4 linked regions of the Oryctolagus cuniculus genome follow. The protein of the gene in region 3 interacts with the protein of the main gene of each other region in a pairwise test. Links are inferred from orthologs where the notes say so. Each region holds a gene or a part of one and is shown on either strand. Other genes may lie near its edges.

Region 1 (4,306 bases), on a different chromosome or scaffold from region 3:
GCAGGCAGGCTTTCCTAAGAGCAGAGGAGCAAGTGAGACTTCTGTCCATGAGCCCACCTCTCTCAATTTGGGAAGGCAGAGCTGATCTGCACTCTGATTTGTGGCGATGACCTCTGCAGCCTCTGGACCCAGTCTGGCCCGCACCCCTCAGCCACCCCAAGGCTGGCCAAAGACCCCCATCCTCTGGGGATGCAGCTGTCTCCACCTGTGCATTCACTTCCTGTGGCCAGCAGCTCCCCAGTCACTAGCCGGAGCTGCTCCCCTCCCTCTTTCCATACCTCCGGCAGGCAGAAAAACAGAAGCAGAGAGCACTAAGCTGGCTGTCCAGGCCACAAAGAGCAATTTCAGTAAATCATGCAAAATTCTCCTTTTCGAAGCCAAATTGCACCTGCACGGGTCTCCCCAGAGTATGAGGGGCCCTGCGAATCAGCCCCCGGGGGGAGCCCTCATAGTGGCTCCCACGCCCGCAGGCTCCGAGCTGGAGGGCTCAGGATCTCAGAAAACCTTCACTAGGAAACAAATCCGAACCCAACTTCAAATCCCAGCAGAGCATTTTCCATTAGGAGAGCAATGTCAAGATTTGGGCTCCCCAGCCTGGCCCATTGTTCAGATGCCTTTCTCCTTTGCGGCGGGCCCCTCCCAGGGTCTCCTCATTCATCCACCTGATTAACTCGCTGGCAGCAACTCCCAGTGCAGAAAGTAGGGCAAAGGAACAGAACACACAGTCCGCAAAGCAGGAAGCCACAGCCCGGGTCCAAGCACCCACCCGGTTCCCGGTCCCCACCCCCACAGCCCAAGGGGCAGAAAGCCCTGCCTGTGGCTTCTCAGCTCCAGAGAGGCAGCTGAGTGCACTAATGCATGCCCGAGCTGTGGCTGCCTAACTACCGCTACAGCCTGTTTCCAAGAGCATCCCCCTGAAACCTCACCTCAGGGACTCGGGGGACAGGAGGGGGGAGGGGAAGAGGTAGGGAAAGGGAGGGACAAGGAGACCAAAGTGCCACTTTGATCACAGAGGGAACTCAAAAATACCCGTGTTGGAAGAGGCCATGTCCGACGTACTAGGGATTCAGGTACCTGGCCGGAGATGTAGCATCCACCTAACAATGTGTTCCTCAGGAGGGCGTGTGAACTTGCACGCCTGACCCTATCTGGCCACGCAAGTACGTGCACTTGCTATTCTTCTCCAATTGTATTTTTGGTTCGCAAGACGAACAAACGGACCTTAAATGGGCGTCCAATCCTTCTCAGGCCCCCTCGATTGCCAGCAGCTTCCCACCCACCCCTCACCCCTCCCTGGCCCGCAGCATCTAATTAAAATGGCAAGAAGAAAGCTCTGCTCCCCTCCCCTCCCCCCCAGGAGTATGCTGAGATTGGGGGTTGGGGAGGGGGAGGCGTCGAGGCTGCCCTGGAACTGTGGTCTCCAAACAACAGCAAAATGGATTCTATATCGCCGATATCTCAGTCGACAGCATGCCACGGCGTCTGAGGTAATGCACGCGGAGGTTCAACGCCAAGCCGCGGGCTGCGGGAGGGAGGTGCTCCACAAAGGACCGGCCGCAGACGCGGGGAAAACACACACACTCCAGGGAGTTCCGGTCCGACTGCGAACAGCGGCAAACCCATCCCTTTCACCTGCCCAAGTTCAGCCATAAAGCTGACATGCCACAGCCACAAAGTCGGAAAGCACAGGCAGGGCTGGGTTAAAGCCATAAATAAAGGTGAGTGGCAGGCTGGCGTGGAAGGAGGCGCGGAGCCGGAGCCCGGGCGCGCCAGGCGGGGGCGGGGGGAAGGGGCGGCCGCTGCCATCTATGAGACCCGCATAGCAATAACTGCCCCCGTGGAGCAGCAGGCTCGGCCTCGCCGGGCCGGCCAGGCTCACGGTGTCATCTCGCAGGTAGCTGGCGAACGTGAGGGGCCAGCGCCTGTATGCGCGCTGCTCTAGTTTCTGCAGCAAGGGACAGTCGGGTCCCGCGCCCTGGCACGAGACGACCGCCCGGAGCGTGCACACACGCGCGCGCGCGCTCACACACGCACACACGCGCGCACACACACACACACAGAGGCTCGCGTTCTAATGCTCTTACACTGCTCTAAGATGAAACTGCCATAAGCTCCACAAGCAGTTTCGGGGGATCGTCGGCCACAGCCAACGGGGGGGACACGTTCCGCACAACCCTTGCCATAGAGGCTCAGCCCGGAGCGCCTCGGCAACCCCGAATCCAAGCGCGAATCCGGGGTCGGTCCCCGTCGCATTCTCCCGCAGCTGCCCGTCAGCCCCCAGACCACACACCGACCCCATTCTCCCCCACCCACCCACCCCAACCCCGCCCCCCGGACCCAAACCCCTGGGAAGAAATGCGAAAAACGCGTTCTGCTCACCCTCAGAGCCGAGAGATCGATTTCATCCAGGCTGCGAGCCGGGGAGTCGCTCGCCATGTCTACTTCTTCGCCCGAGAAATGGACCAAAGCCACCCCAAAGCTTCTCCCTTGGAAATTCCACCTTGGTCTGTTTCACTCGCGTCCTCCTGCGGGTGTCGAGCCAGAGGCCCCGGGCCCAGCCTCCCCCGCCCACCCCGGCCCCTCAGCGCCCGATCTCAAGCCTCCGTGCGCCGGTCCGCCGGGTCCGGGAGCCCAACCTGCGCGGATCTCCAAGCCCGGAGCCGCGGTGCGTGTGGGCTGCGCGCCCCGATCGGCTAAGGGCGCTGGAGCTGCGTGGGTGTATTTAAATGGGACATGCTTCTTTGCTTGTGCGTGGATGGCGGCTGCATTGGCTGTTATAATGAGACACATCAACTCCTCCACTCAGCTGGGGGGTGGGGGTGGAGAACCACACAGAACTGTCTATCACCGCTTCCTGGGAGGAGTAAAGGGGGGAGGCGGAGGAGGCGTGGTCTCCGACTGGGGAGAGGCCGCGCTTCCTGACCCGGTCCCTCGACACCAGCGTGGATGGGGGAGGGGCGCGCACCCTCCCGCCCAGGCTCCTGCGGGCTAATCGGGGCGGATCGGCGGGGCAGTCCCTGACCCTTGCCGGGCTTATCGCGGGGGCTCAAGCTCTTTTTTTGTGTGTCCAACTCGGGCATTGCAGCAAAATGGCTCTTTCCTCGCCTCTTGGGTTTTCTCGGTGGGATTCAAATGCTCTAGAGCTGGGGGGGCGCAGAAAGGGGAAAAGAAAAAGACAGCGACGCCCTCCCTCCCCCATTAATTATTTGTGGGGCTCGAGTAAGGCGGGCTGGTGCAACCGGTGCATATAAGGACTTGTGTGCAGGGAAGGGGATCCGCCTCCAGGCGTGGAACGAGCCCGGGAGAAGCGCGCACGCACGGCGCGTCCGGCCTGGCGCTTCTGTAATCTGCAGCGGCCCGGGGGTCGGGTCCACCCGCAGTAACCGATATGCCGGACTGCGCCGGTCCCAAGTTGCCGGTCCCTCTGCGGGAAAGCTAGGGAATCAGAGCTCCCTTTCGGATCGCCACACCCAGGACCAGCTCGTGCCGCAGTTCCCCACGAATCGGAACGTAGAAGCTCGTTCTCCGGGCGCAATAGCTTCCAAGCCATCAGGTAACTCCAAAGCCAATGCTGCTTAAGCCAAGCTCGCCGCCCGCGGCCACGGCGTTTCTCTTCCCGGCCGCGTTTCCGCGGGGATCCACCCCAGTGGATGGCGAAAGTTTGACCCGCGGATGAGATGCCAGATGGGCTGGCGAGCGCGCGTTCACCGCACCCACTTTCTCGTTCAGAGGTGGGATGTTTACGGTGGCGAACGTGACATTCTGTCATCGGGAGTGCCAAATCGCCTCCCTCGCCGCGCAGCCTTCCTCTCCGGCCCGAGCCACGGGAAATGCATCGCAAGAAATCGTTGAAAACTGACTTGCTTTCCCCCGCCCCCTTTAAGTACAGCAGAGGCGTCGCGAGCGTTCCTAGCCCCTCTGTTAAGGCAGGAATTCGCTTCTGGCCAAGTGCGCTGAGCCATTCTAAGTCATGTAGTGTGAATATGAGCCTCAGAATAAGGCGAATGAATGAATGAATGAATGAAAGCAAACCAGTGCAGCTAGTGCATCTCGCCTGCCTGCATGCATCAGAGGACTTTGAAACAACAGTCGGTGTACGCTTCACTGTGTGTGTTCATAATACTGTGCTGATGAAGTGCCTTGTGGATCATACACCCTGAAACCTGCAAATGGACTCAATATCGCAACGGTTTGGGTGCTTTGGCTTTTTAACGTTATACGTCAAACGTTTAAACCTGCTATATGACAAACATTTTACTTCTCATTTCCAATAAAATCTTCTAGTTCCATGCACTAAACGACAGTG
Region 2 (4,091 bases), on a different chromosome or scaffold from region 3:
GTATCCTTCTGGAACCCCATGGCCTGGGCAGTACCAGGTCCCCGGCAGTCTGCTCTACACAGAGGTGTTAGCCAACCAAATGCCAAGCAGCACAAACACTGAGTGACATTTTCGGAAGTATTAATATTTCATCACAAATGATCACTTTCCCTTTAAATACACTATCTTAAAAGGTTTTCTACATTCTTAACTATAATTTTATTCAGTCTGGGTCCTTGGAATTTTCCCCAAAGGAACACATCTTCAATTTTATAATGAAAATCAAAAGGGAATGAAGCTCAGATTTCAAAATTTAGAGTCAACATTTCCAGGAACTTCTGTAAAGAGCAAGGTTGTATATTTGGCACCTACTGTATGCCAGGCACTTTACATACAGTACATCATTAATTCATCCAACACCTTTATTGAGTGCTTACTGTGTGCCAGGAATGTTTTACAGAAAAGATTCCCTCTCATCCTTCCACTTCTCAAATGTCACCTCCACGAACAGACCTTCCTGGACCACCTCCTCCTGTTGTTATTTTCCACCTGAGCCCTCGCCCTCTCTGTAATTATCGCTCCTTCACGTGCTCTGGGGGGGGGGGGTTTGCGATCAGCTCCCCCCAGCAGAACTGAGGCCTCCACAGGAGCAGGGACCGTGTCCAGGAGGATCATCCCGACGCTCCCTCTGTGTCCAGCAGCTCCCTTGGCACACAGGAAGGGCTCCATTCCTCCTAGGGGGAGGGAGGGAAGAGGCGGAGAGAAGGAAGGGGTGGTTGAGGTCACACAGCAGTGGCAACCATTACCCGAGTCCCCCTTCTCTAGGCTGCTGTTTTCCTGGCTTCCCTTCCGTCTTCTTCCTCTGCCTCTTGTGCTTCCTTTCCAGGGGAGCCCTCCAGTCACCACCTTGAATTCCTGGGGCCAAAGGTGCCGCGTCAGTCCCAGGTTTAAGAAAGCCGCTCCAGGGAGGGCAGGATTCTATGAATTGGCCAATAGCCTACCTTGACCCTTTCTGTATCTCCCACCCCACCCCCAACCAGGCCTGGGACCTACTGAGCCCAGCGCAGGGTCTGGAGGATCCGTGCTGTGCTGGCCAAAGCCAGGCAGAGATGGGGCAGGCCCGCCAAGGCATGCGAGCCCTGCAGAGCCCGGCAGCCGGGCTGCCGGCTCCGCCTCCTGAGCGGCGACAGCGCCCGGGGTTTGCGGTGCACGCCCACCCCACCCCCACCCGCATCCGCACCCGCACCCGCACCCGCACCTGCATCGCGGAGGGCCTTGGGCGCCAAGCCAGGAGCCCCGCGCACCGAGCCGTTGCGTTTGAACTCCCGGAAAGAACTCCAGCGCTCGACGGCAAGGGTGTGGGAGCCACCGACTCGCACATTGGCCCAGGCGGCCAGCCTGCCCGGCCCTGCCCAGACCACGCCCTTCTCGCGGTTGAGACTCTCCCCTGGGGGTGGCCCCACAACCCAGCACGGGCGCGGCAGGTGTCTTGCTGCGACGCTAGGCCGGCGGGTGCGGCCCCTGACCCTGCTGGCCAGGGGAACCGGAGCGGGCGGAGCGGAGCCTAGGCTGGACGTTAGCCTGGCCTGAGCGGGGCTCCCAGGAACACCCTAGCCCAGAGCCCCGCGGGCTAGCCGCTGCCCGCAGCGCCTTGCGAGGTGCCAGGCCCCTACTCTGTCGTCCACGCAGCTAGGAGGGCGAGAATGGGCTGAGCCGGGCCAGGGCGTCGCGGGGTGTACCAAGGGGTGACTGCCAGGTCTCTGGGGAGAGCCAGCCTCCCCCTCCAGCGGTTCCCAGATGTCATTCTGCCCGCCCAGGCGCCTGGTTGCTGAGCTCCGGGGGATTCCACGGTTACTAAGCTACTGGTTTTTGTTGACTTTTAAATATTTTCTTCTAAGGGATACGGGGAGGGGGACAAAGGTCAGGCGAGAGCAAATAAGAACGAATCGAAACAAGCTCCTCCTCCCCCAAAGAGAGCAGCCCCCAACCCACTGCCCACACGCAAGCCAGAGGCCTCTAAGCCCAGGCCCTTCCCTGGAGCAGCAGCTGGACCGGACTGAGCAGCTTCTGCCAGGCCCCGCCCTCCACCTCCTCACTGGTGAATGAGAGGTGGGGGTGCACGGTCCCCCTGTCTCCGAGCCCTGGGTGGACAAAGGGGCTTCTGGAGAGAGAGGAGGAAGATGGCCAGTGGAAACGGGCTGCCTTCGTCCTTGGCCCTGGTGGCCAAGCGCCCCTCGGCCCTGGGCCCATTCCCCCGATACATCTGGATCCACCAGGACACGCCCCAAGACAGCCTGGATAAGGCTTGCCATGAAATCTGGAAGAGAGTTCAGGGCCTGCCCGAGGACTTGCAGTCCAGAACCTCCACAGAGCAGCTCTCTGCCACCGGGGCAGGAATGCCAAGGGACCACAGGCTCAGCTTCATAGACGAGTGAGTATCCCCTCGCTTGGTGGGCAGCAAGGGCTGTGGCAAGGTCCAGTGCAGTCTGAACTTCTAGGGGACTGTTCGGGCCGTGTTCGGTCTGGTTAAACCCTGCATTCTGCAGACATTCTCTCCACCGTGCGCCCTTCATTGGCAAGCTGGAGAAAGAGCTGACCAAGGTGCTGAAATCACCTGGTTGAAAGGCCAGGCCAGAGCTGCCTTCCAGGCTCCCCTTCATTGGCCCTCCAAGGGGTACATTTCTCATCCTGAAGGTGCAGGCAACCCAGATGTGGCTCTGGGGTCCTTGAAAGCCCCTCCATCACAGCAAAGGCCAAGGGTTAGGTGATTCATGTCCTTCCCCAGAGGCAACTTGAAGAAGCTTCCCCTTCCCATGCAAAGGCCAGGCATTTGCACAGATGAGCCTGGTGGTTTCAAGCCACATCTGGAATTCCCTAATACAGGGAGCAGCTGTCCCATTCAGCCTACACAGAGGCTGCTGCAAGAGCGCATATCAAAATATTTACTGGGAAGGCATTGACATATTCAGAGGACATAATAGAAAATTAAAGTGCGGGAAGATGGCTGTAAATAGCCAGCTTTCTGGATGGGGAATCCTGTGCCTGGGAGACACAGAGCTAAGTGTTTCTCTACCAGGGCAACGTTGGGCAGAGATTGTTGGGCATGGATATTCACGAGGAGCAGGAGAAGCAGACAGGAGGAAGAGACCTCATTAGGGAAAGGAAGTAAATCTGCTGTGGTTATTAATGTCACTGTCAAGCACTTCTTCAATGCTTTGCATCTTCAAAGTGTGCTGCAAACATTAATTAATCCTCCCAGAGTTCCTATGAGGCAGGTATTAGTGTCCCCATTTTACAGATGGATTAAGTGTTAATAATTAAGTGCTAATTAAATACTAAGTGATAATTAAGTGTTGCCTGCTCCAACACATGCTCACGTTCAGTTCAGAGATTGCTCTGAAGTGGGAGAATACTCAGGCATTTATCAGCCGCCTCTGGTTTCAGGGATGTCTAAGCAAGAGCTGAGGACGAAAGCCATAGTCAATGGAGGGATACCCAAGTGTGCACTCTCTGCTGTCGCTTTGCAGGCCTCTCTGCTTGCTGCAGATGAAGGTAGAAGGCACTTTGGCTGTTCCTGCCTCCACTTCCCTATGCTCAGCACAGGATGGCTCAGACAGGAATAGTGTGGCTACAGCCAAAACCTTGCTGTCAGGCCCTTCGGAGGCACAGAGCCCTTTTCCTCTGCCCATTGCCATCTGCTTTGGGACCGGGCCTTGGCAGGGTCCCTTGGGGCCACGGTCAGTCCTCATGGCCAAAGAGCTGATTGTCCACTTTGTGGACCAAGGGTCAGTAGCAATTTCCAGTAGATGGCACCCTCTCTGCCAGGTCACTCTGAGTTAATGGAGACAGACTCTACTTCCAGCCTGCACTTGGCTGCAAATTGAACTGGCACACCTTTGGCCAGTTGCTTAACTCCCTTTGGCCTTGATTTCCTCATCTGCAAATTGAGGATGATTTGCCCTGCCTTGTCCACCTCAGAGCTGATCACGAGAATGGAATGTGATGGTAAGCAGGGAAGTGAAAGATGCATTACACAAATGAGACTACCCTCAAGGTGTCATTCCTGGGGTTCTGGCTCTGTAGTCGCTGTTGGCTTCTGTCTGGGGTTTGCA
Region 3 (4,229 bases):
GGAACAGAAGAGCAGCAGCTAGGACTGGAACCAGCGCCAGGTGGGGGCTTAACCTGGTATGCCAGAGCACCCCCCTCCCACCTTTTCCTTTTTTAACCCCAAGTTTCACTGAATATCACCAATACGTTGAACTCGCAGCTTGTTTCCACTCCTGACAGTTTCTCAGCCCAACCTCACTCAACAAAGGAGAGGGGAACTCAACATCAGTATTCAACCTAAGACAGGATCATTTGTATTCACTCTAGGAACGGAGGGTTGGCGAATGGGAGGGTGGTGAAGGGGGCAGGAGGAGGATTGCGGGGCCAGGTGAGTGGAAGAAACGGAAGAGTAATGATCAATTTATAGACGTGACCAGTCAACCCAGCAGTATTTATTCGGAGCAAAGCCCTGTGCTAGTCGTTTATTAATGCCACGGTGAGCAGGATCCATGAGGGGGTCCGTGCCTCCAAGGAGCCAGGAATATCAGGTGACCTAAGAAGCACGCAAGCCAACAAAACGCGTGCAGAGGACATCAAGGAAATTCGAGAAAAACGGCAACCGACATTAATTCGGGGCGATTCGGTAGGCCAGGGGCAGTCACAAAGATGACCACCCTTCCCCAATCCCAGGACAGGTAACGTGTGTCGTGTCAGGTGGTGCGCCCGGGCTGGGTCCCCGAGAGCACCGCTGCCAGAGGCCCCAGCGAGGCTGGATGGGAGTGCAGGTTCAGCAGGAGCCCTCCCGGGGGCGGGGGGCGAACAAAGACAGGAGCCGTGTGCGTGCAGGCGGAGGCGTGCGAGGTGGGCCTCGGAGGACCCGGCAGCCTGGGCGGGAACCGGCGTGGGCCAGGGGGCGGGACTGCGAGGCCAGGGAAGTCACCGCCGCAGTCGCCGCTCTCCCGGTTTCTGGCGTGGAGGAGTCCACCTAGGTTGAAAAGCCGGGGTCCGGCAAGTCTCTCCCGCCTGCTGGCCACTGTGGCTGCTCAGAGGTCCTTCATATCTGATGGCTTCGTGATTGGAAAAACCGCTCTGTTTGAAGAGCGCCGAGTCCCGCGCACCGTGGCGGCACTGCTGGCCGGCGGGCGGGCGGCCCTGGACACCGCTCCCGCCTCAGCCCCGCCGCCGCCGGGAGCCGCCGGGAGCCGCCGGGCCGCGGGAGGACGGCGCGGGCGGGGGCGGGGCCGCGGCGCACCTGCCCGGCGCGGCGGCTGCGCGGACCGACGTCCCCCCCCCCCCACGACGCCCGCCGAGTGTTTACGTGGAGACGAAGATGGCGGCGGCGGTGACGGCGCTGGCCGTGCGGCCCGGGACGAGCCGCCAGTGAGCGCGGAGGCTGCTCGCGCTCCGGGCGGGGCCGCGCCGCGCCGGGCCTGCTCGCTGGGCCGCGGAGCTCGCCGCCCCACCTCCGCCTGAACCGACCTTTCCTGTCTCCCCCAAACCCCGCCCGCTGCTCCGCCGCCTTCCCGCAGAGGCCATGGAGGACGAGGAGCGACAGAAGAAGCTGGAGGCCGGCAAAGCGAAGGTAGGAGAGGCGGAGGCAGCCGGGCCCGGGGAGGGAGGCGGCGGCTGGGCAGGGTGGGAGGGGGCCTGGGAGCGGAGCTGGCGGCGGCCGGCGCGCGCTGGCTGGCGGGGAGCGAGGTGCCGCGGCCCCGCGTTTCCCCCTCGCCCCTTGTTCCAGTAGGGGCGAAGCCCGGCGCCCCCTCCTCGCCGCCGATACTTGGGTGCTGAGTGAACGGCGTGGCTGCTTTCTCGTAAATGCCCAGGGCTGCCGTCAGCTGGTGTTTAATTGCTCCCGAATCTCAGCCTTTCACTTTCTTCAGGGGGTGTTCTGGGCGGTGCAGGCGTTGTGCTGCCCAGCGAGGAGATTCAGGGCTTCTCCTTTATTTGGGGGGGATTGGCGCGCGGCCGGCGGCTCGCCCGCCTCTCTGGCACGCTGGCACTCCGGGGCGTGTGTGATTGGCCTGTGACAGCTGCCTCGGCAGTGGCTCGAGTGTGCCACAAGTGCCAGCTGTGAACTTGGCTGCAGGGGCGTTGACAGAAGCGTGCCTTTGTATGTCTGTCTGCGGAGGTCTTTGTCGCGGCACCGAGGCTGTCTGCATGGAACTTCTGGGAACCCAGAGGTTCTGTGTTCCAAGTGACACCTACAGAATTCCTGCTTTGAGTAATGTCGTTGTCCTCTGTGTAGCTCCGGTGAGCCGCTGTTTCGTGTGTGTGCGCGCGCGCACGAAAAAGCCTGTAAAGCAAACAATACAAAATCATACACAGGTGTCATTCCTTGGGCTTCATGAAAAACTTGACACGAGATACATTTGAATAACCTATTTCTTTTAAACATTGCGTGTTAGACGTGTCTTCTGGTTGGCCCCAAAGGACCCCTTCTTCTTTACAACGAAATGACCTTTTGTAGGTTATCTGCTAATCTCTGTAGAGGTAATTGTCAGCAATCATACTTGGACTGCGGTTAAATGGTAGTGTAGTTAACTGTTTCTCCTCTCCGCCTTCCCTCCCCTCCCCCCACATAAACAAAGGAAACCGGGGCCCTGGCTGCAGTCCTCCGGGAAGGGCCACCTGCAGAGGTGCAGCAGGAGAGTGCTCATCCCAGGTGTGTCTGCCTGCGTGTGTAACGTAGCAATGCAGTGGGCTTTGCAGGAAGCTCCCTCCGCCCGAGGTCCAGGCTCACAGGTAGCCAGGTGGACTTTTAGAATCTGTACATGGAGGGAAGGGGAACAGGGCACCTTCCAGAGCCCCCAAATTGCTTACATTACACAAACCCCGTGTGTCCCTTGAGGGAGGTTAGCTGTGTGCTGGCTTCCAGAAGCACTGAAGTTCTAATCTGTCTGGCTTGGGAATTTTTACTGCTTGCCCCCAAAAATGTCTTTCCTAAAAACATGTGAAGCAGTCCCATGAAAGGTGATTTACTTTGGACAGACATATATCATGATAGAGGATTTAATTAAATAGTTGTAAGTAGTTGATTTGGCAAAATGGAGTTCTGTATGCTCTAGCGGTGTGTGTGTGTGTGTGTGTTTCAAAATTCTACCAATGGAGTAATGTTAATAGGTTAACTTGTATTTCAGAAGTTTATCTTCTTCTGGAGTTAAGCCTGCTTTTCCCAGTGAGAAATCTGTGAAACGTATAAGGCAGGATATGTTTGGGGCCACATTAGCTCTGCAATAAAAATACCGAAATAAGTCTTGAGAGATGATATGAAGAGACTGGCTTTCTAAGATGTATAAATGCAATGGAATAGTATGCAGCCATTAACGTTATGAAGACTAACAGCATGGAAGATAGAATGAAAATGGCATCATCAAAAATAGTCTATAAATTATTTCCTCTCTATATAAGCATGTGTTTTAGTTAGGACTGAAAAACATTGGGTTCTTTTTTTTTTTTTTTTTTTTTTTTGACAGGCAGAGTGGACAGTGAGAGAGAGACGGAGAGAAAGGTCTTCCTTTGCCGTTGGTTCACCCTCCAATGGCCGCCACAGCCGGCGTGCTGCGGCCGGCGCACTGCGCCTATCCGAAGGCAGGAGCCAGGTACTTATCCTGGTCTCCCATGGGGTGCAGGGCCCAAGCACTTGGGCCATCCTCCACTGCACTCCCTGGCCACAGCAGAGAACTGGCCTGGAAGAGGGTCAACCGGGACAGAATCCGGTGCCCCGACCGGGACTAGAACCCGGTGTGCCAGCGCCGCAAGGTGGAGGATTAGCCTAGTGAGCCACGGCGCCGGCCCAAAACATTGGGTTCTAAATGTAGTCATTCAGCACAAGCCATCTTGAACTCCCATGTTATGCCAGGGGCTGGAGATATAGAGGTGGTGACAATCTTTTTTCAAGTTAGATCACAGTGTACCCTAGAATGATACCTATCAGTGAATGCTAAATAAATGAAGAGCAGAATGACTAATGAGTTGTTAATGGGTGCAGCTTTACTAGTATGGTTATAGTTTAGTAACAATAGGGGCCAGCGCTGTGGCATAGTGGGTAAAGTCGCTGCCTGCCCTAACGACATCCCATACGGGCACAGGTTTGGGTCCTGGCTGTTTCACTTCCTATCCAGCTCTCTGCTATGGCCTGGGAAGGCAGAAGAAGTTGGCCCAAGTCCTTGAGCTCCTGCACCTTCATGGGAGACGTGGAAGAAGCTCCTGGCTCCTGGCTTCAGATCGGCACAGCTCTGGTAGTTGGCAGCCATCTGGGGAGTGAACCAGCATGTGGAAGACCTCCCCCCCCCCCCCCCGCCTCTGCTTCAA
Region 4 (3,577 bases), about 19 Mb from region 3:
GCTGGAGAAGCAGCTGGCCATCGAGCTGAAAGTGAAGCAAGGGGCGGAAAACATGATCCAAACGTACAGCAACGGCAGTAGCAAGGTGGGCCGGCGCGCACTCGCCAGCTGCACGCACACGCACGCCTGCGTGAGAGCCCCCGCGTGTGCACCCGCCTGGATGCACCCGCCTGCATGCCACACCCCCAGGAGCAAGTCCCAAGCTGGGGCGGTGGGGACGGGGCGCCCTCTAGTGGTGCCTGCGGGTCGGGCTTGCAGGGGATCCTGCTGATGTGTGGCGGCAGGGCTGGGCACAGGCAGCTCCCCGGAGCAGCAGAGGCCGTGGCCCCCTCCCCTGTCACTGGGGTACGCCACGGGCTGTGCGCGGCAACACGCAGCCCCCACGGCGGGCACTGCCTCCTGCCCCCCAAGGACACCTGGAGACCCTTGCCCGGCCTGACACCCACCCGCACCGCCATAAATGTTTGTCATGTCTATTTCTTGGGGACCTCTGAACTTCTCTCTTCTAGTTCTTTCTTTTTTATTTTTTTAAGATTTCTTTATTTATTTGAAAGAGTCACACACAGACAGAAGTAGAGGCAGAGAGAGAGAGAGAGAGAGGTGAGAGAGGTCTTCCAACCGCTGGTTCACTCTCCAAATGGCTGCAATGGCCGGAGCGAAGCCAGGAGCCAGGAGCTTCCTCCCGGTCTCCCACGCAAGTGCAGGGGCCCAAGGACTTGGGCCATCTCTCACTGCTTTCCCAAGCCACAGCAGAGAGCTGGATTGGAAGTGGAGCAGCCAGGACTTGAACCGGCATCCATATGGGATGCTGATGCTGTAGACCGGGGCTTTAAACCCCTATGCCACAGCGCTGGCCTTGAATTTTTTTCTTATGGTAGTAAAATACCCATAACATAAAATCTACCATTTTTAGCCATTTTAAAATATATAATTCAGGGACCTGTACAGTGGGACAGCGGGTTAAACCCCTGCCTGCAGTGCCGGAGTCCAGTGCTGGTTCAAGTCCCGGCTGCTCTGCTTCTGATCCAGCTCCTTGCTGAGAGCAAGCAGGTGACGACCTGAGGATTTGGGTCCCAGGACCCTCGTGGGAGGCCTGGATGGAGCTTCAGGCTCCTGGCTTTGGCCTGGAGTAGCTGTGGCCATTGTGGCCATTTAGGGGGTGAACCAGTGCATGGAAGATTCTCTCTCTCTCTCTCTCTCTCTCTCTCTGTCTGTCTCTCTGTCTCTCTGCCTTTCAAATAACTAGATACATTTTACTATTATATAACCCAGTGGTGTTAGATCCATTCGCAGTATTGTAGAACCATTACCTGTGAATAGTTCTAGAACATTCTGCCCCCACCCCCGCTTGGGAGAAGCCCTGCCCCCTCATCCATCACTCCAGGCGCTCCTTTCCCAGCCCCAGGCCACCACCAGTGCCCATTCTGCACATTTCCCGTGGACACCACGTGGGGGCGTTTCGGGGCGCGGCTGTGGGGGCCCCCCCACGTGCACTGTCCCGGAGTTACTGCAAACGCAGACCCTCCCGGTGCCAGCCCTGGTTCTGAGCAAATAGGTCCTGGCTCCCAGCGAGGGTGGAAGGTCCCGTCCGCAGTCGCACAGCTCTTAAAGTGGCAGAGCCACGACCCAGATCCCTCGAAACCCCTTGGCTTCACTGCGCGTGCCCTGTGCCGCCCCTGCTGGGAACGCGCGCGGACGTGGGTGCTGTCTTGCCCTCATGGCCCTCTAGGGCGCTGCATCTTACACTAGGTACACCCTGCTCAGAGCACCCAGCCCTGCCCCCCACCCCAGCTACCCAGCTACCTCCTCTCCTGTCTCCAGGACCGGAAGCTGCTGCTGACGGCCCAGCAGGTGCTACAAGACAGCAAGACCAAGATTGACATCATTCGTATGCAGCTCCACCGAGCCCTACAGGCGGACCAGCTGGGGAGCCAGGCGGCCGCGGATGAGGCCCACGGTGAGCGCCTCGCCGGCAGCCCACTCGAGAACCTGTACCGGGAGCTCCATCCGGGTCTCCCATGCGGGTGTAGGGGCCCAAGCACTTGGGCTGTCTTGCACTGCTTTCCCAGGCCATAGCAGGGAGCTGGATGGGAAGTGGAGCAGCCGGGACTCGAACTGGCGCCCATATGGGATGCTGGCCTTGCAGGCAGCGGCTTTACCCGCTGTGCCACAGCTGATTTTCAAGCTGCTCATTTTGCATGGTCCAGCAAACGATGTTGTAAATACCTCATACGGCCACCAGGGGGCGGAAAAAGGCTCCCCAGGCCTGCAAGCTGTCATCAGCATGGCTCCTGTGTGAAGCCATGAGGGCTTTGTAGACCGCCCCACCGGGAACCGGGCTCCCGCGTGTGGACTGGGGCAGGGTCTGACAGTGCGGTCAGGGGTGTCCCTGGCTGTGGGGTGACTGCCTGGTGGTGATAGCTCAGTGTGGGCCCCTCCCCGCCCCATTTCCCTTCTGCAGGGGGTCCGGACCTGGGGGCCGCGGAGCTGCGCATCGAGGAACTGCGCCACCACTTCCGCGTGGAGCACGCGGTGGCCGAGGGCGCCAAGAACGTGCTGCGCCTGCTCAGTGCAGCCAAGACGCCCGACCGCAAGGCCGTCAGCGAGGTGAGGGGCGGGGCTGCGGCGTGGGGCAGGGCCTCGGCTGAAGAGGGCCAATGGGAACCGTGAGGCTGGGGAAACGGGCGGGGCCCAGAGGCGGAGCCTCTGCATTGATAGGCACCAGAGGGGCGGGCTTCAGTAAGGGGCGGGGCCTCAGGCAGGAAGGGAGCCCAATAGGTCAGTCCCTCATCAAGGGGTGGAGCTTCAGTGGGGGTGGGTGGGGCTTAGTCCCGAGTCGACCTCCGCACTGGAAGCGAGGAGGCTAGAGGAGGGGGGCGTAACCAAGGGGCGGGGCCCAAGTGGCTGTTTAGGCCAATAGGGAGAAGGAAGTCCAGAAGGGGGCGGGGCAAGCCTGGCTCCACCCCAGCCTCTTCCTTCCCACCACTCAGGCCCAGGAAAAGCTGACGGAGTCCAATCAGAAGCTGGGGCTGCTGCGGGAGGCCCTGGAGCGGAGGCTGGCGGAGCTGCCCGCTGACCACCCCAAGGGGCGGCTGGTGCGGGAGGAGCTTGCCGCGGCCTCGTCCGCCGCCTTCAGCGCGCTCCTGGCCGGACCTTTCCCCGCCACGCACTACAGTACCCTGTGCAAGCCCGCGCCGCTCACAGGTGCGCCCCGCAGCCCCCGCGCCCCCACCCGCCTGACTTACCCTGTTCCCAGGTGGCCCCCAACCGCGCTTCCCCTAGTCCCCCAGGCCAGCCTCTCCTCTGACTCCCCACACCCCCTTCCACCTCTGATCTCACGTCAGCCCCCGCCCCCACCCCGAGTGGGACCCTGCACTCCCCCGTCCTAACCTGTCGGAGCTCACCGGGGCCTGGGCCTTGCACCTCGTTTCTGTGGTCCATCCCAGCCTGGCCCCTGATCCCCAGCACATGTCCCATATCTTACATCCGGGCACTGCCATCCCTGGCTTAAGCCCTGCACGCCATCTGCTCGCCCTGGCACGCTGGTAACCTCTAGGTGTGCCCGCCCCAACCTGCC

The links.
Region 1: the proteins of AKAP9 (region 3) and TNIK interact in a two-hybrid assay, tested with the Homo sapiens proteins (2 studies listed by BioGRID and IntAct). The link is inferred for Oryctolagus cuniculus from reciprocal best matches to the Homo sapiens genes AKAP9 and TNIK.
Region 2: the proteins of AKAP9 (region 3) and C7H1orf94 interact in binary tests that used the Homo sapiens proteins (3 or more experiments, as listed by UniProt). The two-hybrid records come from large-scale screens. The link is inferred for Oryctolagus cuniculus from reciprocal best matches to the Homo sapiens genes AKAP9 and C1orf94.
Region 4: the proteins of AKAP9 (region 3) and PKN1 interact in a two-hybrid assay, tested with the Homo sapiens proteins (2 studies listed by BioGRID). The link is inferred for Oryctolagus cuniculus from reciprocal best matches to the Homo sapiens genes AKAP9 and PKN1.

What each region holds. Positions count from the first base shown.
Region 1 is NC_091435.1:108,838,403-108,842,708, reverse strand, and holds the start of TNIK (TRAF2 and NCK-interacting protein kinase), read right to left. Parts: upstream 2,840-4,306; 5' UTR 2,437-2,839; coding exon 2,380-2,436; intron 1-2,379. UniProt on the Homo sapiens protein: Serine/threonine kinase that acts as an essential activator of the Wnt signaling pathway. Recruited to promoters of Wnt target genes and required to activate their expression. May act by phosphorylating TCF4/TCF7L2.
Region 2 is NC_091438.1:138,451,141-138,455,231, reverse strand, and holds the start of C7H1orf94 (uncharacterized protein C1orf94 homolog), read left to right. Parts: upstream 1-1,278; 5' UTR 1,279-2,081; coding exon 2,082-2,410; intron 2,411-4,091.
Region 3 is NC_091447.1:43,775,495-43,779,723, reverse strand, and holds the start of AKAP9 (A-kinase anchor protein 9), read left to right. Parts: upstream 1-1,366; 5' UTR 1,367-1,452; coding exon 1,453-1,500; intron 1,501-4,229. UniProt on the Homo sapiens protein: Scaffolding protein that assembles several protein kinases and phosphatases on the centrosome and Golgi apparatus. Required to maintain the integrity of the Golgi apparatus. Required for microtubule nucleation at the cis-side of the Golgi apparatus.
Region 4 is NC_091447.1:63,099,900-63,103,476, forward strand, and holds part of PKN1 (serine/threonine-protein kinase N1), read left to right. Parts: coding exon 1-85; intron 86-1,821; coding exon 1,822-1,957; intron 1,958-2,461; coding exon 2,462-2,607; intron 2,608-2,990; coding exon 2,991-3,204; intron 3,205-3,577. UniProt on the Homo sapiens protein: PKC-related serine/threonine-protein kinase involved in various processes such as regulation of the intermediate filaments of the actin cytoskeleton, cell migration, tumor cell invasion and transcription regulation.